Alligator mississippiensis: one gene and its partners. The protein of the gene in region 3 purifies or fractionates together with the protein of the main gene of each other region. This does not show direct contact. Links are inferred from orthologs where the notes say so. Each region holds a gene or a part of one and is shown on either strand. Other genes may lie near its edges. The genes, in order: EXOC7, EXOC8, EXOC3 and EXOC1.

Region 1 (7,044 bases), on a different chromosome or scaffold from region 3:
AAGAGCAAGCTCTTTCCCTCAGGGGGCACTGTTGATAGGTCTGGCTGACATGTCTGCAGCATGCAGTGGGAAGAAGGTCTTGGAAATGTGTAAAAGAGTACTGAGATCACCAAGATCCTTGTGGGATCCAACAACTCCTACTCTTCTAAACAGCAATGAGATCCAGCAACATAGCTGAGGACAGCAGTGTACTGCAGCTGTACTCACCCTTCCTTTATGATCTTCTCAGTGTCCTTTGCCACATGGTAGTAGCTAATGACGTGATCCAAGCAGGACAGGGTCTTCTCAACATTCTCCTGCAGGCGCTGCAGATTCTCGGTCTGCTTATGCACAGGGATGATTGAGTTCTCCAGTCTCATCAAGCGACTCTCAAAGGAGGAAAGGATGGAAACCTACAAGCCAAAGGAAAAAGGGGAACAGACAGCAGCACTATGTTTTGGCTTAGCAATTAGAGAAGGGAGCAGGGAATCCTGAACTCCCAGCCTCTATTCCCACTCTACTATGGATTTACTACAGCTCCCTAGGCAAGTCACTTAACCTGTCTATCCTGATCCAATTCATCTCCTCTTCTCTACACGTAGGTTTCATAACATCAGCTGCATCGCACTGGAACCATGAGACTGGCAACCAGTCATGGAAAGGCTCACAAGCATAGGAAGACAGATCTTTAAGGAGACAGACCTCAGCTACAGAACTCTTGAACAAATGAGTTAATAAAAAGCCACAAAAATCACTGTATTCAGGACTAAGTGCAAGACTCAACTCTTCAACCCAGCTTGCTAATAAATTCCTCTTTAACAGTTAAAAAAATAGAAACAGAAAAACTCAACAACATAAGCTTGTTGCTGACTAGAGAAAGTTACTTATATTTCCACATACATGGGAGACACTCAGATGAGGGGAGATATACAGGAACCTAGAGAGACTACAGCTTCACAAACAACAGGCTTCTAACCAACTACCTTTATCACCTTTCCTCTTTCACCAAGAGGTCTAATACATCACATATCTTATAACTCTTATATCAGGTACCAAAAACTGCATCAGTTTCCCCAAAAAATCCTATCAAGGTATGGTCAGACAAACAAATTACTACCCAGTAAGATAGCGTACAGGTTGACAGATCAGCTACTGCATGATAACTGCTTATATGCATGCTACAACCCTGCAGCAAATAGGACATGACCCTCCACGGAAGCAGGGAATGCTTCTCACATACTGCAAGACAACAGCACACACATGGGCAATTACCACAGAGCACCTGAAACATTATAAATTCACACCCCAATTTATCTCTAGGTAATTTGTTCATTGGACCATTGTTTTAACAATATAAACAAGATACTAAGCAAACTATACCCTTCCTTTTTTCACTGAATTCAAGGGATTTGACTTACCATGTTTTTTGTGAGCTGATCACTTTTTTCCAGGCTCTCCTTTATAAAAGACAGTGTTTCTTCTTCCTGGTATTGGTATAGAAAGAAAGAAAAAAAAAATCAATTCTGCAGCACAGGTGAACTTCCAAAGCTCAGAGGCAAAACATTTCCCAGCATTTCTAACTCCTCCTAGAAGGAACATCCTGGCAAATCATTCTAGACCTAGTATTTAGGTTCTACTTAAATGTATTTACCCCAAAGAAAGCAACATAATCAGTGTGACCTAAACACACAATTTAAATAAGGGAAGGTTTTCTCCTTGGGCATGATGAGCCTCAATGCAACAACGTACAGCTTGCAGTCCGGAAGCCAGAAGCAAAATCTATGGTGCAGGTACAGAGCGCAGACACAACTTTGGTCCTAGTGTCTGCTTCCTACCTATGTTGCTCACTCCGTGTCTGACATGCTCCAAGTTCAATTTAAACATGGCTCAGCAGTTTGCCTTGTGCCCACCAATGGACGCAGCAGGTACAAACCGAATGGTAGGATAGGTTTGTGCCAGTCTGGCAGGGCACCGCATACAGTGCATACCCTGAACTAACCTGTCTGCTGCGTGCAGTGGGAGGAGCTGGATTCAGACCATGCACCGCGTGCAGCACACACAGCCAGGGCCAGGGCCAAGGCCCAGACCCAGACCTGCCCTATGCAGTGTGTGCAGTCAGTCCAGGGATCCATGGGCTGCATCATAGGGCTCTGTGGGCCGGATCCAGCCTGTGGGCCATGCTTGACAAGCCTACGCTCTCCCTCTCTCTCTCTATATATATACATTCACACACACACATCTACATATATGCTGACATGTGTGTGTGTGTGTGTGTGTGTGTGTATCTACATATATAGATAGATCTATAGTTAGACATCCATAGATAAGATATATATCTATATCTAGATAGAGATCTCTATATCTATAAAGAGCTAGATACGGATATAAACCTACATGGAGAGATCTCTATATCTATCTACACATACAGGTATGTTTTTGTGCACTCTCGCTCTTCTCCATTGACCATAGGCTTTCTTTAGGACACACAAATATACACACGTGTGTGCACACTCGCTCTCTCTCTCAATATATAGATAAGAGCGAGTGAGTTCCTTTCTATACCTAGAGAGCGAGCGAGCGCATGCATGTACATGTGTATATCTACTCGTGTCATATAACACACAGAGACAGATACATGTACAGCGCACGAATACGCAGACATGGCACATATGTGTACAGACATGTAGGGAGGGTGGGCGCACCACAGCTGTGCAGCTCCCCAAAGCTGGGGCTGCAGTGACTGCATTTGGTGCTCCTCAGGCTGCAGCTTAATCCGGATCAGGGTGCGGGCCCCGGGGCAGGACGGGGGTGCAGCGTGGGGTGTGCCAGGCCTGCAGCCGGGAGGGTGTGCTTTGGGGTGGGTGTGTGCGCCCAGGCCCGGGGCGGGGAAATTCCCCCCCCCCCCCACGGCAGCCCGCCCCGCCCCCCTACCTGCTTGAGCTTGCCCTCGATCTCCCTGCGCCGCGCGGACGCCTCCTCCGTGGGGACCATCCCGCATTACAGCCCGGGCCGCAACAGCCTCCACCGCCCACTTCCGCCCGACCCGGCCGCGGCCCCGTCACCGCCGTGCCGCCATCTTGAGAGTGGCAACCTCCCGCCCCTTACGGCATTGGCAGCCATCTTGGGAGTGGCGGGAACCGGCGCACAGGTGCGCTGCATAGGGACACAAGGCGCATGCGCGCCTCCAGGGAGCGGCCATATTGGGAGTGGCAGTGGCCCGGGGAAGGCCACGTTGGGAGTGTCGTTGCTTTCCAGGAGTGTTGACTGCATGCATCTCTAGTGATGAGTAGGGAGCAGATGAGGAATGTGGTGCGCGTGCCATGCCATGCCTTGGCTGTTGTACCTCTTACTGCCTCCGCTAGAGCAGTGTCAGGCAAAATCGAGGTTCACCTGCATGCATCAAGGGCCCTTCTCTCTTCTCGTACCCCATGTGCACGATCCTCGCTGGCCCCTGCATGGCATCTCATTGCTGGGTGGCAGTCCTCGACCCGGGAGCGCAGCACCTCCCTCTGCGTTCTGCCTGGGGAAACTGAGGCACAAGGCGATGAAGTACATTTGCTCTCCCGTCTCCCAGCAGGCTGCTTTGGGCCCAGGCTCTCCCAGTCTTCCGGTTCAAGTGACCACGTTTCAAGGAGACGCTTCTGAGGCCCACAGCTGGCTAATAGCAGCCCTGACCTTGGCAGCGGCTGGTCAGCTTCCGGGCCTGTCCAATGCTGGACCTGATCCTATACCGATCTGGGCTTCGCTGTTCAAATTTGGGGCTTGCATCCCACGAGAGGGAGTCCTGGAGAACTCTGGGACAGCCTGACATTTGGCCCTGGAAAACCCAGGACTGCTGATGGATAAAGCACCTCATATTGTGCCTTATCCACAAGTTTGTGATGTTGACTAGCAGGGAATCAGGAGTAAAGGCCCCTGGTTTCTTTTTGCTAGTGCTGCTACTGACTTTCTGGTTCAATGCTGGATAATCTCTTTATCCCATCATTTATTCCTCTCGCTCTAAGCGTGCCTGAAGATGCCATTTACCAACCTCTCAGAGGCATCACGAAGATTAATGCTTTCACATACTCTGCAATGCTTGAATGGGAAAGGCCATAAAAGTGCTCAGCCCTGTTAATGGATGTCACAGTGCCTTGTGCTGCTGCTGCCACTAAAAAATAACTGAATGCCAGGGTGACCATTCTCACCTCAGTGCCTGACTAACTGCTGCTGACGCACAGAAATGCCAATTAGCCCTAATAGGTGCCGTGCACTGCTCCCCCTGCACGTGGAGATGAGAGGAGGTCCCTAGACACTCCCTCTCATTTCAGGAGTTCACATGAGCACCCTGACCTCGTATACCTTCCTCCTGATAATTCTCATCCCGATGCAGTCTTTTCTTGCTGCAGTAGAGAGGCTCTCAGGTGCTACGGGGAACAGGGGCACAGAAATACTTTGCTAGATTGGAAGTATGTAAGAAGAGATAGGCAGCATCCCCTGGGAGCCTCTAGCTGCCAGCAGGTCTCAGTGTGACCTGTGCCTTCCAAGTGGAAAATGCTGAGAGAACTGGAAGTCCAACATCATGACTGTGATCATGAGGATGATGGCAGGAGAGTGACAGCAACGTGATCAATTCCCAGCCCTGCTCAAGTGCCAGAACTGTGCAAAATGCAGCATGTCCACCAGATGTCCCCTGGCACCAACTTTCCTTCTCTACATCCTCAAGGGGGGAGAGTTAGACAGCTAGAGAGGCTCTGTGGCTAGCACCAACGTGAAAGAACTGGAGACAGGGACCTCCAGTAGCCATGGAGCAAAACTATTTTAACAAATGCAAAGTATCCAAACTGCCCCTTTCTCTCCCCGCTTCGCCATACGCACCTGCTATTTATCTTTAGTGTTCATTTGCAGTGGGAGAAAAGATCTCGATGCTGCCGAATGAGTTGAATATCATACCATACTGAGAACAGATCTGCATACAATTTAAATAGATTTGCGTGTGATAAAGTCAAAAAACCAAGAGGGAAGGGGGAAATGGACAGCTTACCGGGGAGTATACTGCTTGTGCCTAGAAACCTGGCATAAAGAGAGGAGGAGGGAATTTCCCTTGCTGGCTCTTTGCAGCTGGGATCCAGCACTACAGTAGGGAGCAGCATAGGCATGAGAAGAAGGAAGCTTGAGGTGATGCTTGTTAATAAATCAGAGCACCAATCATTTGCTATGTAGGCAGCACCAAGCACAGTGGGGCCAGAGCTGATTTAGGCGACACATTGGTCATAAAATTAAAGCAACTGGATTTTGCCCTTCCAAAGTATCTGACCTGTCAACGGGCTTTCCCGATAACTAATGGCATCTCTGAGCTGCTCTGCTGGGTAGGAATGATCAGCCTTATTTTACTGAGGGAGAAACAAAAAGGGGCTTGCCTGGTGCCCCATAAAAAGGCAGTTATAGCTATGAGGCCAGAAGCCAGGAATCCTTATCCAGTTAACCCTGCTCCAGATCCATCCTGCATAGCCTCTTGAGGAGAAAGAGCACCATGCCCCTTGGTGCATCCATCTTCTGTCCCCTGCTGGCAGCTAGGGACAGGATTTTAATTGCACTGCATCTGGCACTGACTCTTCTTGCAGCCTCTTGTGCTGCTCACAGCAATCAGGATTGTTGCAGTTTCTGGGGTGCTGCCCTTGGCTGAGACCCCATCCCATTACTCTGGGTGGCTTGATTTTATTTGCTATTGGTTAAGCCCTCCTGGAGACTTTGAGTGAGAAGGGAAAAGCCCCCTCTCACTTGTCTTCCCTTTGGCACACATTGATTATTCTCTCTCCCTGTAGCTTGGTGGGAGCTGAAATTAGCCTTTGTTCAGTAACTTCAGTTTCTATTGCAGAAAGCCTTATCATGTGGCAAACAGCTGTGTTTGTGCAACTGCCTCTTTGAATGGGGGGGCATATAACTGTGTTTTCTGCATGCAAAATTGCTGGCTGGTGACTGCGTTAACATATTTATTTCTCAGGCTCAACTGAGGTGGCAGGGCTGGAGAGGTCTGTTTGACATATATAGATAGAAACTTCTTCAAGTCACCTTCTTCTTCTGCTGATCTGGTGCCTGCATCCTGTACCCTATTGCCGCAGCAGTGACATGCTTTATCTTAATGAGATCTGAGGCGTAAGCGGAACCACAGCAATATTGGAATTGTTTCTTTCCCCCCAAACTGCTGCTGTGTTTCTGCTGTATTGCTGATCTGGCTGCATAAATAGTGTTTTTTTCTGTCTTAGCTTGCAGGCTTGTTTAAGGGGTCATATAGCTGAAAGGGGCATTAACCAGAGCTTCAGGAAATCCATCCTCTTTCCGCAGGATGGAATTACTGTGCGTGTTTGCTCCTCCTGCTGTCCCACTCATCCACTATAAGGTTTGGATGCTAGAGGTGCTGCCTAGACCCTGCCCTTGACACCATCATATTGTGTGAGGGTCTCCTGAATAGGACTTGATGTGTAAAAGACCAGCAAAAAGGCTTTGCTCACCCCCTGTGGGATGGCTTGGCCCACTGACGGAAAAAGGAGGAGCTGGGGGAAGAGAACCATGCGAGCCATTTCTCAGGCACCAACCCTTGTCTCCTGCACCCAACCTCCCCTCACTGTTTTCACTGGAGCAAGGAACTGAATTTATGTTGCAGAAGGTCTTGTGAAGGGGCAGGGCTTGTAGTCTCTGAACCAATCTTCTTGTCTAGGAAGCACCTGCCAATAATCAGTTGGTCACATAATCAAGCATGTACTATAAATAAAAACCACAGATAAGCATCAATCTCTGGTAAGGCACCATTCACCCGTACAGCACCAGACCAAATGCAAATCACTTTCATCACTGCATGAAAGATAAACTGTCAGACAGAGCACTGATTGCTAATAAAATGCAAAGGGTCACCGAATGAGGGTCTGCTAAAGTAAAAAAAACAAACAACCCAATATTTATTTCCAAAAGTAAATGAAAAAAAAGACTGTAGGATTGTGTGGCTCTGCCACCGATGTGCTGTTAGGATATTGAGCGCTTCATCTCCAGGCCTCCAGATTCAAGCCATGCCACACTGGTAATGGCTGG
Region 2 (7,451 bases), on a different chromosome or scaffold from region 3:
AAGCTTTAGTGCTTCCTCCAAGAAGGCCATAGTCTGCTTGGTAAAAGCAACCACAGTGTAGCTAAGATTGACCCAGCAGTCATCACCTGTGTACTGGTCAAAACTGCCCACACCACAACTTCTCATTTCCTCTCTAAGTTTTCCCAGAGCCTCGGGAGTCATCAGGTTCATCTTTCTCCACATCTCTTCAGAGTTGCGATGCTTGGTGGCCTCAATGATGATATCCTTGTAGCTCTGCAGAGCACCTTTGATGTCTTTCACCAGCAGGGTGTGAATGATGAAGGTAAGGTCCAGTCCAATCTCACTAAGCTGCTTACAGTGCTCCTTAGCTACCTACAATAACAAACATCATTATTAATACTTATCTATATGCCACATAGACACAAGCTACTTAACCACCCCAACACCCATAAAAATAGGTAATTCTTAGTCCTAATTTGCATACCTGAAAAATAAGGCAGTGATTACGAGTCTGGAAAAGAATACACACTGCACTTTATTCTGCCTCTCTTTAACTTATGTATCTAACTTTTTTAAATGACAGAAATACAGATCCTGTCTATCATAAATGTCTGTAGTGTTTTACAGAAATGATTGAGAGTAGATTCAGGCTAGACATCAGGAGGCATTACTTCACAGTCATGGCGGCTAGGATCTGGAACCAACTTCCAAGGGAAGTGGTGCTCGCTCCCAACTTGGGGGTCTTCAAAAGGAGGCTAGATAAATCGCCTACCCGGGTTCATTTGATCCCATCATTCTTTCCTGCTCGTGGCAGGGAGTCAGACTTGATGATCTGCTCAGGTCCCTTCCGACCCTATCAACTATGAAACATAATTATGATAAAGATGTCACAGTTTAGCAACTGGGAAATAAAGGAGTTCAGTATTTTTCTTGAAAGCCTATGTTAAGGCATATTCAAATCCAATCCAATAAATATTTTGTAGAAAAGGATTCTTTGCTAAAGTTCCAATACTCCCACTCTTTTAAGTAAGGCCAAAACCAGCATTTCTGATAATAGTGGGGCAAAACACAAACAGAAGAAAGGCAATGCAAAGCCCTCCACACCCTCCCTTTACTAAAGAAGGGAAGCTATAGGTGAATCTGTTTTACCACCTCCTGCCCAAAAACAGTAAGTTAGCTGAGAGAGAACGAGACATCCAGGGCTGCAGAATTCCAGGTTTCTGCTCAATCGACTGGACTGTGCTGCCTTTCTTATACGTGCTTACCTTCACACATTCAGCAGCAGTTGACAAGCTCTCTTTGCTGTCAAACACCTGCTTGCTGAAGGCATCTACAAACATCTTCATGGCAGAGCGTGCCCACACAACGAAGGCGGAGTAGCAGCCGCTGTTACCAGCAAAGTCTGTCTCAAACTCCCTGGCAGTCTCCAGCAGGCTGGTGAAAAACACGTGGCAGAGCTTGTGGATGTACAGCAGAGTGGCACCTTCAATGCGCAGCTGACGGATGGCCGTGTGCACAGCAGCCGCCCGGTTCTTCAAGAACAGCTCGCAAGCCTTGGTTGATTGACCCAAGCGAATGAGCTGAGAGACAGCCCGGCGGGTAGCCCTTGGCCCACCACGCAGTGAGCGATCTGGAGAGAGCTCAAACACCAGCACATCCGTGAGCTGCCTAACTCTCTCATCCACTTTCGCCCGGAGCTCCCTCACCGGCTGGCTGATGGGCTTGTCTGCCAAATACTCGTTTAGCTTATCCAGCAGGTCAACTGCACCCTCAAAATCCCTCTGGGCGATGCAGACATCCAGGTCCTCAGGAAGCTCCTGGATCCACTCCAGGGACAGATCCACTTTTTCCTCCTCAGGTGGAGGCTCCACTTCATCCTCATCCTTCTCGAAGGGGTTGGATGACTCTGGAGAGGGCAGGGCTGCTCGCGGCAGAGCCTCCTGCTCCAGCCGCAGCTTCTCGCTCAGGGCGCGGCTCCGCTTGGTCTCCTCCAGCACCTCCAGCCACTCCTTCTTGATCTTGGCGTTCTCAGCCTGGAAGATGCGGCCCTCAGGGAACATGAGCAGCTTGAACATGTCCTTCATGGGCGGGTTGTCCTTGACGTTGACAACAGCCAGCCCGTCCAGCGGGTAGAGGGCGTCGTAGCGGTAGGCACCACGCCGGTTGGGCAACCAGGTGGCCACCAGCAGGCAGTCATTCATGAGGAAGGCGTGCACTCGCTGCACCTGCGCCATGTGGTCAGCGTCATACTCCACCAGGTCCCCGTTGTACACCAGGTACTTGCCGGGGCTCTCGGGCAGCAGATCCCGGCAGCCCTCCACCTTCTCCAGCAGCGTGGTAAGCGTGCGCTGCCGGCCCTCCTCGCTGGCCGCCACCTCCTTGGCCGACAGGGGCAGGAAGGGGTTGTTGACGCGAGAGTCGGTGGCGGCACGGCGGGCACCCAGCGCGGGGTCGTCGCGGTCGGCCTGCAGCAGCAGGGCCTGGGTGACAGCCTCCATGATGCCCTTCTGCTCGGTGAGGATGTGGCTGAGCTGGTACATCTCGCTCTCCAGGTAGCTGATCTCGCGCGCTGTCTCGATGAACTGCCGGTAGTTCTGGTAGACGTTGCGCTTCAGGCTCTGCGCCGTCTCCTCGCTCAGCGCCTGGATGCGCTGCCGGTGCTCCTGCAGGTCCCGGTCGCCGTCCGACTGCTGAGACAGCTGCTTCACGTACTCACCCGCCGCGAAGCTCCCCAACTCCAGCTGCCGCCGCAGCCGGCTGCTCCCGGGCCCGCTGCTGCTGCTGCTGCTGCTGCCGCCGCCCCCCGCCGCCAGCCCGCCCTCGCCCAGCGCCAGCGCCATGGCCTCACCCGCCGCCCGCCACGGGCCGCCAGACGCTACCACCGCGCATGCGTCCCGCCGCGACGATAGTCGCGCTCTTTTGACGTTAGGCGCATGCGCACTAAGGAGCGACTACCCGGCACAGGCGATTTGACAGAGCACGCGCAGATAGAATGGCGTTTCTTCCCCTGCGACGCGGAGGAATGGGAGGCTGCGCAGTGCGCATGTGCCACAGCGGCGTGCTTCCAACGATACAGTGAGTGGGGTGATGCGCATGTGCTGAAGGCGGAGGGGGGCGGGTAGGGAGGGATGCGCATGCGCCAACGGCAGGGGTGGGTGGAAGGTTGTGTAGACTGCATTGCGCATGCACTAACGGCGGGGTTGGAGCTGGGAGGGGCTACGTGCCGGATTGCGCATGCGCAGTTGCGCACAGCAAGCGCCTCAACGGTCGTGAGAGCCGGGCGCATGGAACGGCTGCCGCGGTATCATGGACGCGGACTTCCTGATGGCGCTGCACCTGCAGGCGCAGTGGGAGGCGGGGGAAGAAGAGAAGGAGGTAGCGGCCGGCGCCCGCCCCGAGCCGCCCGCGCGGCCCCTCTCCGTAGTGGACGAGTCCTGGGAGCTGCTGGACCCGAGTCCGGACGTGCACGGCCTCTTCGTGCAGTTCAACCAGGAGCTGTTCTGGGGGCGGCTGGCGGCCGTGGAGGTGTCGTGGAGCTCGCGGATGACGCTGTACGCGGGGGAGGGAGGGCTTGCACCCCGATATGTGCGCGCGCACTCTCTCTGCCCCGGGGGCCCTTTCCTGCCTTGCCAGCAAGGCTTCCTGCTGCAACCTGAAGCTCCCACTTCACGGCCCCCGCAGGCAGGCTGTTTGTAACCAATTTTAGCCACGTGTCATTTGTTTAATGCTAGCTCAAAATGTTCGTTGGAGTGCGTCCATGCATCCCTCAGGTGGGGTGAGGTAATCGTGGATGGTCCTGTTTTGACCTCCTGAGCTCAGGTGATAGTGAACTTGGGTGTGGGAATCAATCCCATGATAGATGCTGAAGCTGGCTTGATTTTGTGTTATGGATCTGAAGGAGACAGACAGTTAATTCTCGAGGACGGGGCTAAAGAAATGCCGCCTCCTGGTTTTTTTTTGCCTCATTCGTTCCGTTGGGGGCGGGGTATACAAAACATGGGATATAGCAAATGGATGCACGTTCCAGTGAAGCTGTACTGGTTTTTCCCTTCTGGTTAAGTGGAACAGCACAGCCCCAGGCCCCAAGCCTGTTGGGAAAGCTTCTAGTTTCTTTTTACCCAGAGAATTATGCACCTCAGTGTCTGCACCCCCCTTCTCCAAATCCTATTTTTGCCCATGCTCCCAGCCCTGATGCCTGGCCTCTTCCCTGCTGGCTTTCTCAGCTTTGGGACTCCTGTCTATTGGCAGTAATAGCAGCAGCCCCAGGCTTTGTTGGGAACCTGGCTCCTTTGTCCTCACTGCTGTGTCTGAGTGCTGGCTCCTCAGGGGTGAGTTGGAGCAGCCACCTGGCTCTGCTTTGGTCCCCTTAAAGACCTAGAGTAGTTTTTGGGGTTTTGGGTTTTTTTGACATTATGTTTTCCACATCCGCACAAGGTAAAACTTGGTCCAAGTACAAAATCTTTCCCAAACTGCATGTCAGGCTTGAGATTTTGGTACTTGCACTGTCTTTGTAGCAGGGCCATAGCTGTCTGCTCTGTTTTTATGAGGTGCATTTATTTTTTAAATGCAGCAGCAGAAAGTTGTAGATTTCGGCGAAGGGCAACACTCAGCAGATCTGCACTGCAAAGAACAGGTTTGGGCTTCTGTTTCCTGTTCTGTGCAAGGCCTGAGTTGTTTTTTAAATGAAAGTGCTGGTTTGTAGACAGAACAGGTCACCTTTGAATGCACAAATGGTATGTCTCAAGTTCTTAACTCTGAATCAAGTGTTATCAAATGGAAGCAAGTAAATTGTGGGTCATGGATTGTTGTTTTTTGTTTGTTTGTTGGGGGGGGTTGATAGTGCTTACCAAGATGACCTTTTCTAGTCTGTACTGTAAAAGGATTTAATACTTGAAAGGACTTGATTCTTAGTTTAGCAAGGTTGAATAGTTATCTGAAGGAGAGCTCTTTTTCAAGTACAGCTTACTTCAGCTATGTTAAGAGGGATCAGTATTTGTAAATCTACTTCTCAACTCTGCTCTGCCAGCTATGAAAGTAAATGGGAATTGTACGTTCTGTTTGTATTTCTCTTTCAGCTGTGCTGGCGTGTGCAGCTACGAAGGAAGGGGTGGAATATGTTCCATCCGCCTAAGTGAACCGTTGTTAAAGCTAAGACCAAGGAAGGACCTTGTAGAGGTATTTTAAGACTGACTGCTTATTATCTCTGTTAAAGGATAGCTGATAGTTTGCAAGGGAGGCTTTATTCACAGTGCTTTGTAGATTGTGAAGTAGCTTTTGGTTTTCTAAGAACCTTGTGTTTGGTGTTTTATTGTTAGTTGTTTAAACATGTAAATTGTTAATCTGTCAGTCACAACTTTTATTTAAACTGATGCTTTTCTGACTCCCTTAACTTTCAAAAAAATCCCCCAAATTAGCTTTCTGGCTCTTGAAATGCTCCTTCCAACTGTTTAAAAGTTTACTCTGCCATTTAGAGTGCAAAATAAAGTAGTTCAGTTTTACTTCTAGGTCAAACAGCCCAGTTACCCAAAAGCAAAGATGCGGGGTTTGACTATAAATGTAAGCTTCATGCTGTTCTTTGCCTCTCTGCTAAGAATTTATGAGAGTTAATTGCCATTCAAGCTGTGAGTGTAAACTACTGTTCTGCACCTGCTATGAGTCAAAGCCCAGGACAGTTGGATCTGGGGTACACCTGACCTCTTTTTACCCTGGTTTTCCAGGTTCCCCTTTGAACTATTTGGATGTAAACAGATGTTGCCTTTTGTTAGCCTATTTAAGTACTTGTGAAGTATGTAAGATATGGAACAGAAGATCCTAATGTAGTCTCTGTCCCACTTCAAGTACTTGTGAAGTATAGGATACAAGATAGGCAAACACTTTTTTCTAGGGCAATGCTGTGGTAACTAAGTTGAAAGTAATTCATGTGAGTTAGTTGCCAGTTGTTCCAGGGACAAGCCTGTCAGGCTGTTTGTTCTGGTGACTGAGCAGCAATGTAGTGTGGAAGGTCTGTACTTTCTCTCTTACCCTGGGATTTGACTTGGGTCAATCAGGACTGCCTCAAATGAAACATCTGTTTTCCAAGCAGCTTTAAACAGGTTTAAGAGGGTTTATGCCTATCTGCTTCAGATTTAAACTGCATTATTTAAATAGGTTTAAGTATTACATGTGTCATACCCTTTGGTGTCTGCCTGCTCAGTGCACTGGCTATGCGGAATTCCATTCTGAGGCACCTAACTCCTTATTCCTTATATGGGGAGCTTAAGGGACCAACTTGGGTTTATGACACTTAGAAAATAGGCATAGATGTAGACTAGTGATAAGAAGTTTTGCAAAATGTTTGTATCTACTACTTGCAACTACTCCACTCCTTCCTAGTGAAGTATTTAAAAAAAAAAAAAACCCATGGGAAGGTAGGCAAAGTTTGGATATCGTTTCTCACAGTACGGTTCCTTAGAATGCCCTTTGGGTCATACGGAGAGAAACTTTGTGGGTTTGGCAGTTTAGAGAAGTATTGTAGTATGTTCCTGACCCCATACTTAAGTTGTAGATTCATAGAAATAGGATTCATTACCAAAATAAGTATAAAAAAATAATGGGAAAACCAACCTATAAGCTATATTTTAAATAATATACTTTTTTTTTCAAGAAACATCAGCAGTTGCTTTTTTATTTCAGACTCTATTACATGAGATGATTCACGCTCTACTGTTCGTTACTAACGATGACCGAGACCGTGACTCTCACGGGCCAGAGTTCCGTAAGCACATGCGTCGCATCAATCGCTTGACTGGAGCCAATGTTACAGTAAGTGCTTTACAGTTAACAAAATGCTATCTAGCAGATTTAAACTCTGTCTGTCTATCTGGCAGTTCAAGCATTATGTATTTACATATTCCTGAATTACCATGACTGATATATAGGCATTTCTGTAGCCAAACTGTAACCTTGGGTGGATGTGTATTCATTGCATCGTAAGGGAAATGTAGGTTGAGGTTGGTGGGGCTTTGCACTTGCCTGAACTCTGTTGTGTATTTGGCTGGGAACATGCAATTCTTCAGTTAGAATGGCTCCAGAGATTATTTTCATTTTTAGGTTTGAAGTGGCCTTATGAACTCTGAAGAAAAAGCCCTTCAGTTTTGAAAAAGAAAGGCTGGTTTGCTTTGTTTTAAGAAGTTGTTTGAGAGATTATTGGATAAATGATCTTTATGTAGTATTAACGAGAATTTTTAAATCTAAAGATGCTGACTTTTGAGGAAAGACTTTGTTTCATGTTAAAAATGGCTTCCATGCGTGCTGCATGCTGTTAGCAGCTGAACTCTGTGCCTTGCTTCAACCCTGTCGTGCATGATCATTTTCCTTATGCCCATCACCAAGGAATTGAGAGATGATATTAACACTATGCATGTAGAGATGGTGACATACATATAGCGGATGATTCTTATAAAATGGGAATAAACATTGTGACTTGACTTCCTGTTTTACATTTAGATCCA
Region 3 (7,408 bases):
GGCTAATCATCAACTATAGGCATCGTCCAAGAAAATCTTTATCGGTGCACCCTTACTTACATGCCAGTCTCATCTTCTCTGGAGAATCTCACAAATTTTCCAAAATGGTACCTCTGTCTCATTGCTCAACTGAGCCAAAACCAGCCTCCAAAGATGTCCACTCCCTTTATTCACCAACTCCTCACAGTGTTTCTATTTAAGTCTTGAGAGTATAGGAACTTCTATCTCAACTTCTATCTCTACGGAGAACAAGAGAAAGAAAGAGCCATTCTGAAAGAGTCCCTTAATTTAGGGTTAAGACAGGTCTCTGCCCCATTTTCCTCCATCCCACTGGTTGACAGCCCAGAGGTTGCAAGCTTGAGGCCATAGCAGAAGTGTTCATGGCACAGCCCTGTCAAGTTCCAACGTATCTGTGAATTCTGCTAAATACCTTGTCAGAAGGACACGGAAAAGGAAAGGAAGTCCATAATGTTCCTCCCTCCACCCCGAAGATTTTTCTAATTACCTCTAAGCTTTAGAATCAAAGATCCTTGCCACAAGGCAGCTTCATTACCATAGTGAAGGCTTTGGTTAACCCATTAAAAATAAAAGGGGAATACAAACTCACAGAACAGTCAATCCCTTCTACAAATTATGTTGCTCCTAAGTGACACTTGTTGTTTTAGGGAGTATCATCTGAATATATGGTTTGAAAAATGTTCCTAGGAAAATGTTGCTGGTAAGAGACTGTTGGTCTTATAAGGTGATGCTACAAACTGTACATCTTTCTGAAATTAAAAAAAACTCCTACTGAACACAAACATGTTTGCACGCACATGCAAACACACAAACTATAGTCTTCTGAAACTCCCAGTACTCTGCATTTCAAAACAACACATGTGCAAAAGCACTTAATCTGCATTCAGTACTGCAGCTATCTTTGTATATATGCACATGCTCAGTTTGACATGTTAGAATGCCCTTTAAGAACAAGAATGTGTCATAACAGAAAATGTGTAAATTCTCATCATCTGTTCAACATGATTTTGGAAACATAAAAAAAAAATCACTCCTAGATTCAAATGAAACACAACTGTCAGCATAAAATTAGGGCCTTTTTTAGATACATGTAGTATAGAAGGAAAGTAGAAACCATAAAACAAGACTGCAGCCTCTATCCTAACACCACTGTCACCTACAATTCCTAGTGAATTGCCAAGAAAAGAGCCACACCTTGTTTATATGAATTACATAATATAAGCCTGGTCCATGTTAAAAACTCAATAGGAATAACCATTTCAATTGGGGGTCTGCTTTTCTTTCTGAACCAAAATAGTGACACACATGAAATCCCCATTAAGAACGCAGTTACAAGAGCACAGCTCCTGCCTTTCCTTGGCAGAAATGGTCCCTACTAGTAAACAAGGTGTTTTTTCCCAATCTAACCACATTCATTTTAAACAAGACTTGTGAAAACTAATTTCCTTTGCACTGTTGATCAAAGCAACTTATTTCAACAGCAAGGTTGCCACATTCAGCTGCTGTCCATCCACACTGGCTGGAAAGAAAAACTGGAAATGGGAGGTTAGGGCCGTATTATCTGTGAGCACGAGTGACTGGTGCCTCCTGAGTCTGGGGGTGCACCAGATCACTGACAGGGGGGATCGTCGAGCCAGCAGCAAAACCGGAAGTGCAGTGGTTTCACTGCTGGCACACCCCCTACGCGTCACCCATGTCTGTAAAGGGCATGAACACTGTCCTAAAGTGAGGGCAGAGCATCAGTGGGATGTGAGACAGCCTCCTGAATAAGAAACAAATCCTGTCAGAGAACACCTGACCTCTACGCACAAAGCCTCAGGGCAGTGCTTCTCCCCCAGGGCACCATGGCACCAGTTTGCCAGGCATGTAATAATTATCCTATTTGTATAATTTCAACCTTTGCATGATGTACAACCAACAACAGGAAAAGTGTTTAAAATTTATGATGTTATCCAGGCTGTAGCCATATTGGTCTAGAGAAAAAAGCAATCGGGACTCGTAGTAGAGATAGTATCTTTCATTATACCAACTAGATTTTTGAAAAAAAAAAAAAAATTAAAGAATTTTTTTTGTGCGTGCAAAAATCTTGCTGGTCTAATAAAAGATATAATCTCTACTATGAGTCCTGATTGCTAAAATGTACACCAGTTTTTGGGGTGTAGGTTTTAGCTGTGTTGGTCTAAGGACATAGGCAGACAAGGTTCCTTGGGCGAATCTGATATCTTTTATTAGACCAACCCAAATAGCTGGAGAATAGTTATTAAGCAAGCTTTCGAGTTCAAAAACCCTTCGTCAGGCTAAGGAAGTTTCAGCAGTTGGTGTGTGCTCTTCCTGGATGGAATGAAAAGTAAAGAAGCCAGGGCTGGGGAGTTCATTGACATGGCACATGCAAAACCCATGTCACTCTGGGAGCCTGAAGTCACTTTGAGGTTTGCTGTCAGCACTTTCTCATGCCGGCTGGCCTTGAAAGAAAGAAATGACTCAACTTTGACGACCCAGTTCCCACCCATTCACTGACGGCTTGTAGTGAGCAATAAAAGACTCGCTTGCGTGCTTGTTTGCGGATCTGTGATAGCGTTTCAGCAAATACGATAATTTGGAGCTTCCAAAGCGATCACTTCATATGTAAGACCTGGCCCCGCTGCAGCCTCTTGAAACGCCTCCGAGGCTGCGAGAAGCGCCGAGGGGCCCCAACACGGCTCACAAGCGAAGCTCAAGAGACGATTATTTTTCTGTAGCGGAGCCAGCGGTGAGGGAAGCTCCCACCTGCGCAGGGCCGCGGGCCAGAGGCGTGGGACAGCCGCTGCCCAACCCCCGTCACAGCCCGTCCCGCACGCTCCCCCCGGCCCCGGGCCCCTGGAGGAGGAGAAGGAGGAGACTCACCCGGCAGCAGCCCGGCTCGGCCCTGTCACTTCGCCCGCTGCCGCGGCGGCCCCGAGCAGCCGCTGACAGGCGCACACTGCGCAGGCGCCTGACGCAACTGCCGAAGCGACGCCCGCGAGTCTCCCCCGTTCCCCCCCATTGCGCCTGCGCTGCAACCCTTCCCCCGCCCCGCTCGACCGTCGCTACTGACCTACTGCGCCTGCGCCAACCCTTCCCCTCTGTTCCGTGCGGGCGTACTGCAGGGGAAGGCGGGAGTCTCGCGAGAACCAGTGTTGTGCTCACGGACGCGCCTGCGATGTTCTTGCACGTGGAGGCCAGCGGGTGGGTTCGAGGCGTCGAGCCAGGTGCTGGCCGGGGCCTGGGGTGAGCGGCAGTGGATCCCAGTGGCCAAAGCATCTGCACCTCCTGACCATGCTCTGCCGCCTGCTCGTGGCTCACGTACCCCGGCCGTGCCCTGGTGTCCCACACAGGGCCAGTGTTGTCAAGTCTCCTCAGAAAAGAGAGCGGCACTGCCTTTCAAAATATGCCTGACCCGTTTCCAAGAGAGGAGAGCAGGGGTGCTTATCAACCCGTGACTCCCCAAAAATTAAAGCAACTTAAAAAAACCCAAAAAACAAGCCTAATTCTGCTTACTATAAGCAGACTTGGTAACACTGCCCACAGGGCTTCTCATGGGGTGGGAAATTTAGCAGCTGGAGAGTGGTAGCCACTGCCCCTCTGCCCAGCCATCATGGCTGGATGGGGCTGCCGCCCTGCCCATCCAGTCCCCAGGGCAAAAAACTGGGGTGCCACTGGCCAAACCTCTTTGTGACCCCAGGTCTTCGGCCTAGTTCTCACCTCACCAGACAGGCCTGGTTCTGTATCTTGTCCAGATGGGCCCAGTTCTCCCTTCCTCTGAGGCTGGAGTTGGTTCCTGGTCCCCAGTTCTTCTTTCCTTGTTCACGGTTCCCTGTTCCTTCTTCAGATCCATAGGAGCTAAAAGCATTTGTGTTTATTATACACGTGGCTGCCCTCTAGAAAAAGGCAGAGGTGCTGCCCAACACAAAGCCTGGTTTTTGTATAGCGTGGTGCCACCTGGCAGGTTCCCCCTTGGACTTTTGTACACCGTGCTCAGTAAGGAGCCGAGTTAGGTTGAGACTGTGGGGCAAAATCTGTGTTGGGTCACCATCAGTGACATAGTTCTGCAATCAGGGGACTCTCTGGAAGCACCTTGAACAGGGCACAGCCCACCCTGAAGCTTGATTTTCAAGTATTCTTCCAATAATGTGTTTTGAGACTGCAAATTGATTCTCGTTTCTTTTCAATTACAGTTTCCTAGTCAAGGTTTAGAATGATTTGGAGAGAGGAAGCTGAAGTTGATTGGTTCTTTGTTCCCAGTTCCATATTCCCAGTTTCTTAATTGTGTAAAGATTAACTTTGAATAAGGAACCTGATTCAGCCTCATTTTGAGAGACAGAGGTCTGCTGATTTCTTTATACATTGTTTTACTTTTGTTATTGTTTCCCTGCACTGTCTGTTAAAATGTGCTGCACTGAAAATTATGCTGAGTTTATTAATTGCCTGCATTCATGTATTGCTTTTTCAGTTCACAATAAGGCAAAGGCATATATAAACAATTCTTGACATTCTTAGAAGCTGCAGCTTTAGATACATGCCCATATATTTGATCATATGTGTTACACATGTGTGTAAAATTGTAATATCAGCTTTCCTTTTCCCAGGACGTAATTCAAAGTGGGCATTAGGTGATGTATAGCACTCATATGCTTGAAAACCTAAATAGCTGTAGGAATTAAAGCCCAACTGAAGTCACATTTTACTTTTTGTGATGTGGAAGAGTTGCTTGGAAAAGCAAGGTTTGCCACCGTGATATTGTTAGAATACTCTGGTCAACTGTTAGTGTCTCTGCAACTGACATGTTTGTTGAGTTGGATAGCAACTTAGCATATAATTCATAATACAAGATTAAATGATTACATGATGGAGGTCTTCTAACAACAGAGCCCCTGATATCCAGGTATAAGTTACACACCCTTGCTCTCTAAAGATCAAACATTAGGTGTAGGTGGGTGTCCTGTACATGAGCAGTGTGAAAGGTGATGCAGTGATGTCCTGCATGTGAGCACATAAAGTTTTATGTATTCTTTACCAGAAACATCTTGTTTTCCATGGACTGTCTTTTATTAGACCAACTAAATAGTTGGAAATATTGTTCTTTGCAGCTTTCAGGCACAAACACCCTTCTTCAGGCATGGGGAGAGTCTGCTGTTGTTTTGTGCTCTCCTGGATGGAATAGAAGCCAATATGTAAAATGTAGGTCTGTGAAAATGCAAATGCATGGCAGTGTTTTTTCAGTTCTCTTAATTCTCCTCTTTCTTTCCAGCATGTGTGCTTTTCATGCATTTTACCGGTTTTGTGTTGTATTTCTCCTTTTACTTGAATTTCACTTATTATATGTTGATCATGTTTTCCTGGTCTCCCTTCAGTTCTCATAAAGAACCAAAAACACCCATCCCAGTTGCATTTTGCATTTTGCTTTGTATCAAAAAGGAACATTCATCTGTCTCGATTTCTGTGTTTTTGTTTTTAAACATAATCATGTTAAAACACAGAACATGCTGTATTATTTTAATTTTTTGGCCAAAATGCATCTGTCCATTTGTTTAACTGTAGCAGTAATTTTGATGTTAGAAAAATTTGTTTCCACTCATCCTTACAAAAAATTATATTGAATCTTGATGGACATGAAGCAGTAAATATACTTTCCTTGTGGAAAGGAAGCTCCAGACATAACATTTTCTGTAATGTTTTCACAATGCCCTCGAATCACTGTTATTAATGTCAGAGTCACTGCTAGCTAACTGTTTATCAATCTCTACAATTTTTACTAGGGGTGCACTGATAAAGATCTTTTGGGCCCATACCGATGGCTGATTGTTAACAAACCATATTGGCCAATACCAATCCAATTGCCGATATGCAGCCTGGCAGGTTGGAGAGCAGTGTCCAGTTGGTAAGTCTGTTGGGGGGGAGGGGCATGGAGAGGGCAGATTGAGGCCCCCATGGTGGGGGAGGAAGGGAGCTGGGGATGGGGCAGGCTCTGCCAGGGTGGGGCACAGGATGGAGCTGCAAGCTGGAGCTGCAAGCCGCTCATGCTGGGGGAGCCTCCCCCCTGCACCTGTGCACAGGGTGACAGTGGGCTGCTGCTACCTACTTGGGGCCAGAGGCGGTGCCAGGCTCTTCTGGTGTGGCGGGGCTGGGCCAGGGCTGCACTTGGAGTGAGTGGCAGTGGAGCTGGGAGGAGAGGTTAGGAGGGCTGTAGCCCACCCCGTAGCCCCCCCTCCCACTGCCACCCAGCTCAAGTGCAGCCCTGCCACGTGCCCCCCCCCCCCCGTTCCAGGAAGAGCCTGGTGCCACTTCTGGAAACAAGTAGGAAGCAACAGCTCACCATTGCCCTGTGCACAGATGCGGAGGAAGCCACCCTCTGCTCCAGCACCCCCACAGACGAGTCGCTCGCAGCTCCATCCTGCACCCTGTCCTGGCTAGACAGCACTTGCCCCAGCCCCATCCCCTCTTTTCCCTCACCATGGGGGCCTTTATTTGCCCCCACCCCATGCCCCTTCTCTCCCCCTGCCTCTTGCCCCCAACAGACTTACCAGCCATATACTGCACACCAAGCTGCTGGGCTGGCCACGTGCTTGCATGTGGCATTTATCACCAACATTATTGGCCACATCAGCCAAAAACAGCTGATTGCTGATAATGTCAATTTCCCTTTTATCAGTGTTGATATGATATGGACCAATAAATTGGTGCAACTCTAATTTTTATCCCTACAAGTATATTTTGCCCAGTAGTCATAGATTCAGAGCCAAAAATGTGTTTGTTTATATTGTTTTAGGAAATGAATGTCCTCTTCTTTGTCATCATTATTCAGCTGATGACCATACAGCATTGGTATCTTGAGTAGTGTTAGAATCTGTAAAATGGGGAAATCCTGAATCTATTCATGAATCAAAGGAACCTTCTTTGGTCTTGTGTGGTACCTTGGCAGAGCTACTACTGTTCAGTGCAGCTTCATGTGGTAGACAGAAGCATGATATATTATGTCTACAACATCTTAAGCAGTTTGAAACCCTAGGCGAGTGAAGTTAATCATTACATGGATCCTGGTTTTGTCTGATAAAAAAATCCCAAATTCTCTGATTAAAAAACCCAATAGCCGCATTTTTCTGTGATTAAAATGCAACACCAAATATATAGGTATGAGTTGAACGCCATGTTTTATTGATATATTTACAATTTTAAAGTTATTTGGAAGCCTACCGGTGCCTCAGTCATTATAATAAAATAAATCCTAAATATCTTTTGGCATTTGATTTTGTTTTTTGTTTTTTAATCATAGAAAATCAGAGCTATCCCTGCCCCTCTTTGCTCAGCAGGATACGGGTCTAGCTGAGGCTCTCCCTCCAATTGCTTTGTGGTGCTGAGCAGCCCTGATAAGCTG
Region 4 (7,666 bases), on a different chromosome or scaffold from region 3:
CCAAAGTTCCACAGCTTTACACAATTTTAAACAGGGAAAGCCCAGGCTACTGTGTGCCTTTAAAACAAGGCCTTAAATCCAGTGTAAAGAGCAGTGTGCATCTGACATCCCAACCAACTCTCTGCCATGTGATGCTATCAACCCTGAAGTACTGTTTACACTATAGTCCTAGGACAAGGCCTTGGGCCACAGCACAAAATAATTTATCCTATGCAAGTAATTAGCACAGCTATTTAAAAAAAAATTAGAGGTGGACTGATATATCAGTTAGCTATCAAACTAGCACTGATAAAAGGAAAATTATATTATCAGCTATCAGCTTTCTTTGGCTGTTATAGCCGATAATGTTTACCAATAATAATGCCTTCTCACTGGGGCCCTGGACACCTGGGCTCCCTCCTGTGAACCGGGGTGACCTTGAGTGCAGAGGGCCTGATCCAGATGCAAGGGCCCAAGCCATTCTCCATCCCTACTCCCATCCCCTCACCAGCAGGCCAGACTGGACTCCAGAGCAGCTCATGCTGTGTCCCAAGCACTGGCATGGAGCAGACTTCAGGCTAGGGCTGGGGCAGGCTCAGTAAAAGACGGCAAGTTCTACAGAGATGTGACTGAGGTGGGAAGAGGTGGGCAGACCCTGAAGTGCCTGAGGTTCCACACCTTACAGACAGAGCCTGGTAGGACCAGGGGCAGGGGCAGCCACTCCCCCCTGCTCTGTGCAACAGGGTCTTCCCCTGGCCCCTCAGCCCAGTCGGGTCCTGTCCTTCCCAGGGCTGGGCCCATTCAGCCTCCGCCACGGGGCACAGGGGCTTGCCCTGCCTCTGGCAGCAACAGCACCAAGAGGGGAAGAGGCCCTTCTCTGCACTGGAGTCCAGCTCCCAAGACCTGGGGCCCAGCTGCCAGGGAGGAGCAGCATGATTTCTCCAGGCCTGGAATGGTCCTGTGGCCCTGCCCTGGGCAGAGGAAGGAAAGTAGGGAGCCTGGACCAGAGACCACCCAGCCCTGGGCAGCCAAGAAGGCTCACACCTTCCCCATCAACCCTGCTGGACAGACTCAGGCAGCTACCCCCAGGCTGGGGCTCTGTACTGTAAAGTTAACCCAGTTGATTCCAAAATAAAGCAACTATAAACAATGTTAAAAATTAAACTAACCACCACAAGTGCTGCCACTGTAAGAAGTGCTGTATTTTAACTGTCTGGGTTGAGTGAGACACCAAACAATCTTTTAAAACTTACGGATTAGTGGTTAGCAATTTTTGTAGGCCTTGCTTTTGCATTATTAGTGTTAGCAAAATAAAGCTAACCACAATTCATTGTAAATGTAAAGTTAGCAAGCACCTGAACGTACAAGAGATGTCTCAAAACCAACTTAGGCAAAACTGACTGAAACAAGGAAAACTAGTTCACCCTTCTCCTGAAATGTATCCATTCTGTCGTTGATCCAAGCTAGTTCAAACCTTGGAGTTTAATTGAACACCTCACCAGATTTGAGAAGGTCAGTAGCAATGAAATAAAAACCTCTTTGTCCAGAAGGAAGAGACTTGACCTCAGTGGTCCACATGCCTATCACCTTCAAACTAGCTGGGGCAAACTGCTGTTATCTGGGACTAAAAACAAAAGCAATATAGCCTTTCTTTCTTGCTTGGGCAAAACAGAGCAGCCTCCTTTCAGTCAGCTGAGATCAGCAAGGAGCACATCAATCCCACCCAGCACCAATCTTTCTGTGGATTCACCATCCAGCTTCTAACACCAACCCTTTGTTAGACTCTTCAAAGCAATCAGCAACAGGACACCACCAACATCAGCTGCAACCCAAGACAGCCCAGTCAGAATGAAGTAGGGCAGACTGGAGAGAAAAGTATTGTCTGAAGAATAGGCTTTCGAAGGAGCCAAGGCCAATTCTGGCTAACAAGCTAACCCCTACCATGGCCTAAACACATTCCAGAACATTTCTCAACCCCACTGGTTGCAAGACCATATGAAAAGTACAAACTTTAGAAATGGATTCTCCTTTAAAAGAGAAAAACATGGGGAACAATGGCTTTTCCCTTGCAGGTTGGCAGCTTGGGCCCACCCCTGCCCCATGCCCCCTACACCTCACACACTGCGGGGTGGGGGGTAGCAGGTTAGGCGAGGGGTACTAGCCATCGAAGTTTACAAATGGGTCCCATACCAAAAAAGGGTTGAGAATCACTGGTCTAGAAGAAAATAATATCACAAGCAGAGGCAGAAGAGGAGCTGCTTCTTCTCTGACTATATGGAACCTATCAGGGACATTGCGCAGTGGCAAATCTAGTTTACCTGGAAAGTGACAATGCCTCAAAAATCCCTCAGCAGAGGAACATTGTCAGGTTAAGCTATTTGCTAGCCCAGGTCAGTGCACTGTGCCTAGACAGAGGGCCCTGCTGCGCGCTCAAATGAAAGCTGGCTAGAAACGATCTAGAGAGTTGTTACAGTTCCCAAACATGCACTTGGTAGCTGGTTGCCTTTTTATAGCTAAAGTCGTTTTGAGCATGTGGTGACCACTTTGCACTTGCAGCTGCCTGCTTTATTGTACCATTCGCTGGTGAACCACGCAGTACATGTAATGAGTGGCAGAAACCGGGAGGCAACCACCTCTGAAGAACCCCGCAGCCCCGCGCTGCATCTGCCGGGCAGGTCCTCAGCCCAGGTCACGGGCAGGCGGCTCCAGGAAGCCTTCAGACCCCAGGGCGCGAGGATCGGGGGGATCCGCTCCCCAGCCTGCCCCTCAGGCTCAGATCGTCCTCCAGCGCCAGCCCCGCCTTCTGCGTCCCGCTGCCACGCCCGAAGCAACAAGCGGAAGAGCCCCGGCAACGGCCCGCTCCCTCCCGGGTCAGGGTCCGGGGCCGCCCCGCACCCCAGGCAAGCCTTGACGCGGCCGCCTGGCTCTCACCGCCGGACCCGGCACGCAACGCCTCCTCTTCGCCTGCGCGGCCGCCCGGCCCTGCCCTGCCCTGCCCTGCCCACCCGCTTCCCGTCACGTGACTGCGGCGCCCCGGAGCCGCCGCTGCCCGCACTGGGGGAGGCTACTAAGCGAGAGCGACCCCTTGCGGAGCGGCGGGCCAGTAGCCGGCTTACCTCACACCGCCCGCTCAGCTCCACCACAGGGGAGGGCGGGTACTGGAACGAGCCAATAGGAAGTCACGCAGGCGGGCGGGGGCGGGCGGGGGCGGGGGCGGGGCTAACTTGGCAGTGAGGCGGGGCCTCGCAGCGTTTCCCACCCCCATCTCTCCGGTTGGCTGGATCCTGGTGGGTGGGGTGTGTGATGTCCTCCCCCCTACCGTCATTATGACGTCAGAAGTCCATCAGAGCTAGGTGAGTAGGTCGGGTGTTACGTACCGTCGGGCCCAAGCGGGGCCGTATCCGGTGTGGTCGCGTGCAGTGCCGCGTCCTGGCCCTCGCGCTCTGCCGGGAGGTCAGCGGGAGGCCCGCGGCCCAGTGGCGCGGCTTTGGGCAGCCCTGCCACCAACACCGAGCGTCAGTCTGCAGCTGCATCTCTTCCCGCTGGCTTCATCTTGGCCAGGCTGAGCCGCGGTCTTCCTCCTGCCCCCTCTTTAGTGAACCGGGGATCTCGTCACCTGCTTTTGGACAGCTCTTTCCTGAAGAAGGTTCCTTAACGCCCTTGTAGAGCCGAGGTGAAACTTGGGTTTGGTCCATCTTGTGCCCATTGTGGGAGAGTTGCCCTCAAACTCAGAGTAATGGTACCCTGCGCTTCCGTTGCCGCCCCTACAGAGGCCTCAGAGCACTTTACACTTGATACGGCACCGTAGCTTCAGGTAGACATGGGGCGTAAATTCACATTTGCCACGAAAAGAAACAAAGGCATGTCACCTGGGGTGTATTCATGTGTAGCAGGCAACCTCAGTTATGCTAAGGCTTAGCCACAGTCCAGGCTTTCCCTGAGCAACGCAATAAAATTGAACAGAGTGCCTGACAGTCTTTGGAAGGAGTGCTGTAGTGGGAATGCTGTAAGTGAGGAATGTATAGCACTTTCCCTGTAAGGAAAGATAACCAAAAGTAGGATAGGATTGGTGTACCATATAAGGAATGGTTGGCACAGTGCTAAAGGATTTGGACAACTTGGGATAAGAAAGTTACAGAAGTAATCAAGAAGCAAAGGGAAAGCTGTGTGTTCGTGTTGTATCTCTGTGGAGACAGGGGCAACTATACCATGACCATGAGGGAAATACCATGACCACCAACATGGTTTTCATACTGGCAGGGCAAAACCACTTTCTTGGCAGGGGGTAGTACCCTGACTGAGGTAATGCATAGTTTGCCTCCCACTTTCACTTCCAGTGGGAAGATCTCAGCTATACACTGACTTTATGGAAATGGAAGACTCCTCCCTAGCTTGCTCCTGCGGCCATAAAGCTGAGGGCAAGCAAAAGTTGGGGGCATCCAAACCCTAAGCTTCCAGGCTGAGGCCTACATGTAGGGTGCCAGTCAAAGGATTTGGAAGCTTCTGAAGCCCCAGGCAGATGTACAGGATGCTTGCCAGTAGTAGGGTCACATATGGTTCTTGAATGACTCACGGATTTGGATTTGACTTTGGACATGAAAAATATTCCTTAAAAAAACCCAAAAAACTGTAGACTTTTTGCTCGAATAGCTGAAAAACCAGAAACAAACATCCCACACACCAAGCAGAGGACCCAAGGCTGGTATCACCAAAAGTTACTGCTGTAGTGTCTAAAGGAGCCACTTGCCAGGTTGTGTTATGGGGAGGAAATCTGTAATATTGCATAGGGCTTACTATTAAAGTTCACTTGATACCACATCGGACAAGTTGCCATGTCAATCCTTTGGGGCTCTGGTAAAAAAAATCCCATTGGTAACATCATGCAATTCATACGTGGCCCTTTGCAACCAAAGGTCAGGACTGGGTGCAACCAGAAACAGAACAACTTAAAATGGGACTAGAATTGTATCATTCAAGTAATCCATTATGTCTGTTACTGAGCACAACGGGCCCCCACTAAGCTGTCCCAGGAGACTTGCTTGGGAAATGATTCTGTAGTTTTCTGAATCTGTTCTTATAATGATCTAATTGTTAGTATGTGTCATTTTTAAAATAGAGCCTCCATGTTGTAAACATACAGCATCATTATTGGCACACACTTGTCAAATAATAGAAACACATTGAAGCACTAGCAGGTGATATGCTTCTAGCTGATATATTTTCTTTTGTAACTCATAAAACAATATTCTGTATACATTTTCTATAATGTATCATTCATGAGGGCCAGGGTTAAAAGAGAAGTCACAATGTGATCATTTCTCACTCAAACCACAAAATATAACTGTCTCTAGTAGGATCTATAAAGACTGGATAAAGTGGCTATAAAAGATTGGATAGAATTTGCATGCAGCTTTAGCTGGATATTGAGCACCTAATTCTAAATACAAAGCTCCAGGTTTTTTTCACTTTTAATTCTATTCGCACACCAAAAACAAAACAAAAACTTCAACAATTTGTTAATTCTAATGTGGAGTTACAAAAATATTTTGAGAATATTTTTAAGTTACACATAAGTCTTTACCTCCCCATCTACTGTCTCTCCACAGATGGACTGAGGAAGGCCTTAAATTTGCTTTTTTTAACAAGTTTCACCCTGCTTCTTGAGATATTATGTCCCATACTTATGCAGTATAGTGATTTGCAACTGGTAGGCTACAAGAGCGGTCAGGTGACACCCCACCACTGCCGCCATGTTTCCAGTGCCAGGCTGCCCCATGGGTGGTTTCCTGATTCAAGAAGCAGCAGAACCACCTTTAATGTAGTACTGTAGGCAACTGAGAGAGACAGTTGTAACTGCACAAATTATGTTCAGAGATACATGTACAGAGGCTTCTGGAGCATATCAGGCAAGCAGATCATGAGAGAGATAAGCTGAGGTTGTGCATGATGTCCAAGGGAGTTTGGTTTCAGGATGGCAGGTTGGGAGGAATGATGCAGTCAGGGAGGGAGGGTGAGCTATAGGACCACAAAGGTACAGAAACAATGACATTTTACAATACTAGACTATATTGTGAAAAAAAAAGTTTGTACTTTGCAAGTGGGTGTATGTGGGGAACATCCAGATAATAGGAAGAAGAGTAGGCCAGGGAGGGCTCTGGACCATACTGGGAGGGTAGATGAAGCAGCATAAATGTGATCTAAATGGGTAAAGGGGAACAAGACCCTAAAATAATTTAGCAACAGCTATTTGTATTCTTCCATTATCCATTTCAATTTCAGTTTGGTATAAAAATTCTAGCTGAATCCAAGACCCAGACAATCCAGTTCTCTGCAAATATTCTTTAGTGTGTGAATTTTAGTGGAGATAACAGCAATTTCATGAAACATATCATGGAAACTCAGTTACAACCTTAACAATAAAATAATTTTAAATACAAAGAGAGCTTTGTTATCAGAAAAGACGCACATAAAAAGGTATTCAATTTTAATATATATCGATAAGTTTCTTAGCTGGTTAAATGACCCTGGAAACACTGACTTCAGTGAAACATTCCTAAGTTTGTGTATCTATTTGTGTAACTGTCCCCATGTATGACTGAATGTTGATGTTTAAATATTTTCTATGGCAAGGTGGAATATGACCTTTTGTTAATAATGTAAGTCTAGACCGAAAGAAAGAAGACTGTATTATAAACAGATGTTAAAATAGTCCTTTCATGTCTCTGTATTTTCAGTTCTAACAGTTTAAATGTTAAAAATGAGATACTCCTCAAGACAAAAAAAATCTCTTTTGGAACATAATCCCTTCTACCTTGATTTCTCAAGCAGCTACATGAATCTTTTTTGCTCTTTCTGTCATGTTTATATCTACTTACTACAGCTCCTTAACCTTTCTCTGAAGTAACTGGTCCTGGACACCAGACCAGCTAGGTTGGTGTATGGAAATTCCTGTGTTCTGAGTGTAGCCCAGATAAGGTGTAAGGCACCATTTTGGGGAGCAATGTTTTTGTCCCTTAAACTCCTCTTTCCTCTGTTGCCACTACTGTCAAAGCCTTTTGTAAGAATGATGCCAAGACTTTTTTGTTAACCGTGTACTCTGAGAGACTTCTTTTGCAAATGCTTGTAATTTCTTTCTCTCTGATAATTAGATTTTGGAAAAGTCTCCCAAGGGAAGTACTGACAGACCAGGTGACAAATTTTAAAGTATTCCATGCATCTATAGCACCCGAAATTGTACTGTAGAGAGCAAGTCTGTATTAGCAGAGAGATGAGATATGTGACCTGTCAGGTTGTTTCCATTTATAATTTATCTGTTTCTGTATCTCAATGGAATAATGCATTCTGACTGTGGAGTGAAAGTCTCCTACATCTCATTTGATAGTGCTACCAGATCAGACAGATGGCAGAAGGTGTGCCATCATTTGAGGCCTCATCTAAGGACCAATGAAATTAAGAGGAGTCCTTCCACTGACTTCAGTGAGCTCTAGATCAAACCCCCAGCTATCTTTTTAATTGCTAATTTTGGCAATTAAATATTATATAATATAAATGGAAACTTCCCATGTTTTCTAACCTTTCCTCTCTCTTGATTTGAACATAAAGTTAGGAACAGCTAATGTATTATATCATTAACAAATTACATGTCAAACATTTTAATTGCATATATTACACATGCAATACAAGGCCA

The links.
Region 1: the proteins of EXOC3 (region 3) and EXOC7 purify together in Homo sapiens (affinity purification with mass spectrometry; 5 studies listed by BioGRID and IntAct, counting the BioPlex papers as one, with this or other methods). This does not show direct contact. The link is inferred for Alligator mississippiensis from reciprocal best matches to the Homo sapiens genes EXOC3 and EXOC7.
Region 2: the proteins of EXOC3 (region 3) and EXOC8 purify together in Homo sapiens (affinity purification with mass spectrometry; 5 studies listed by BioGRID and IntAct, counting the BioPlex papers as one, with this or other methods). This does not show direct contact. The link is inferred for Alligator mississippiensis from reciprocal best matches to the Homo sapiens genes EXOC3 and EXOC8.
Region 4: the proteins of EXOC3 (region 3) and EXOC1 purify together in Homo sapiens (affinity purification with mass spectrometry; 5 studies listed by BioGRID and IntAct, counting the BioPlex papers as one, with this or other methods). This does not show direct contact. The link is inferred for Alligator mississippiensis from reciprocal best matches to the Homo sapiens genes EXOC3 and EXOC1.

Annotation. Positions count from the first base shown.
Region 1 is NC_081831.1:13,533,148-13,540,191, forward strand, and holds the start of EXOC7 (exocyst complex component 7), read right to left. Parts: upstream 3,019-7,044; 5' UTR 2,971-3,018; coding exon 2,911-2,970; intron 1,464-2,910; coding exon 1,398-1,463; intron 393-1,397; coding exon 208-392; intron 1-207. UniProt on the Homo sapiens protein: Component of the exocyst complex involved in the docking of exocytic vesicles with fusion sites on the plasma membrane.
Region 2 is NC_081824.1:149,731,553-149,739,003, forward strand, and holds the start of EXOC8 (exocyst complex component 8), read right to left. Parts: upstream 3,017-7,451; 5' UTR 2,802-3,016; coding exon 1,227-2,801; intron 334-1,226; coding exon 1-333. Other genes in the region: DNA-dependent metalloprotease SPRTN, read left to right, coding at 3,268-3,512, 5,037-5,136, 6,634-6,762, 7,447-7,451. UniProt on the Homo sapiens protein: Component of the exocyst complex involved in the docking of exocytic vesicles with fusion sites on the plasma membrane.
Region 3 is NC_081826.1:146,164,646-146,172,053, reverse strand, and holds the start of EXOC3 (exocyst complex component 3), read right to left. Parts: upstream 3,007-7,408; 5' UTR 2,902-3,006; intron 240-2,901; exon of another isoform or gene 61-239; intron 1-60. UniProt on the Homo sapiens protein: Component of the exocyst complex involved in the docking of exocytic vesicles with fusion sites on the plasma membrane.
Region 4 is NC_081825.1:60,853,102-60,860,767, reverse strand, and holds the start of EXOC1 (exocyst complex component 1), read right to left. Parts: upstream 3,003-7,666; 5' UTR 2,911-3,002; intron 2,577-2,910; exon of another isoform or gene 2,554-2,576; intron 1-2,553.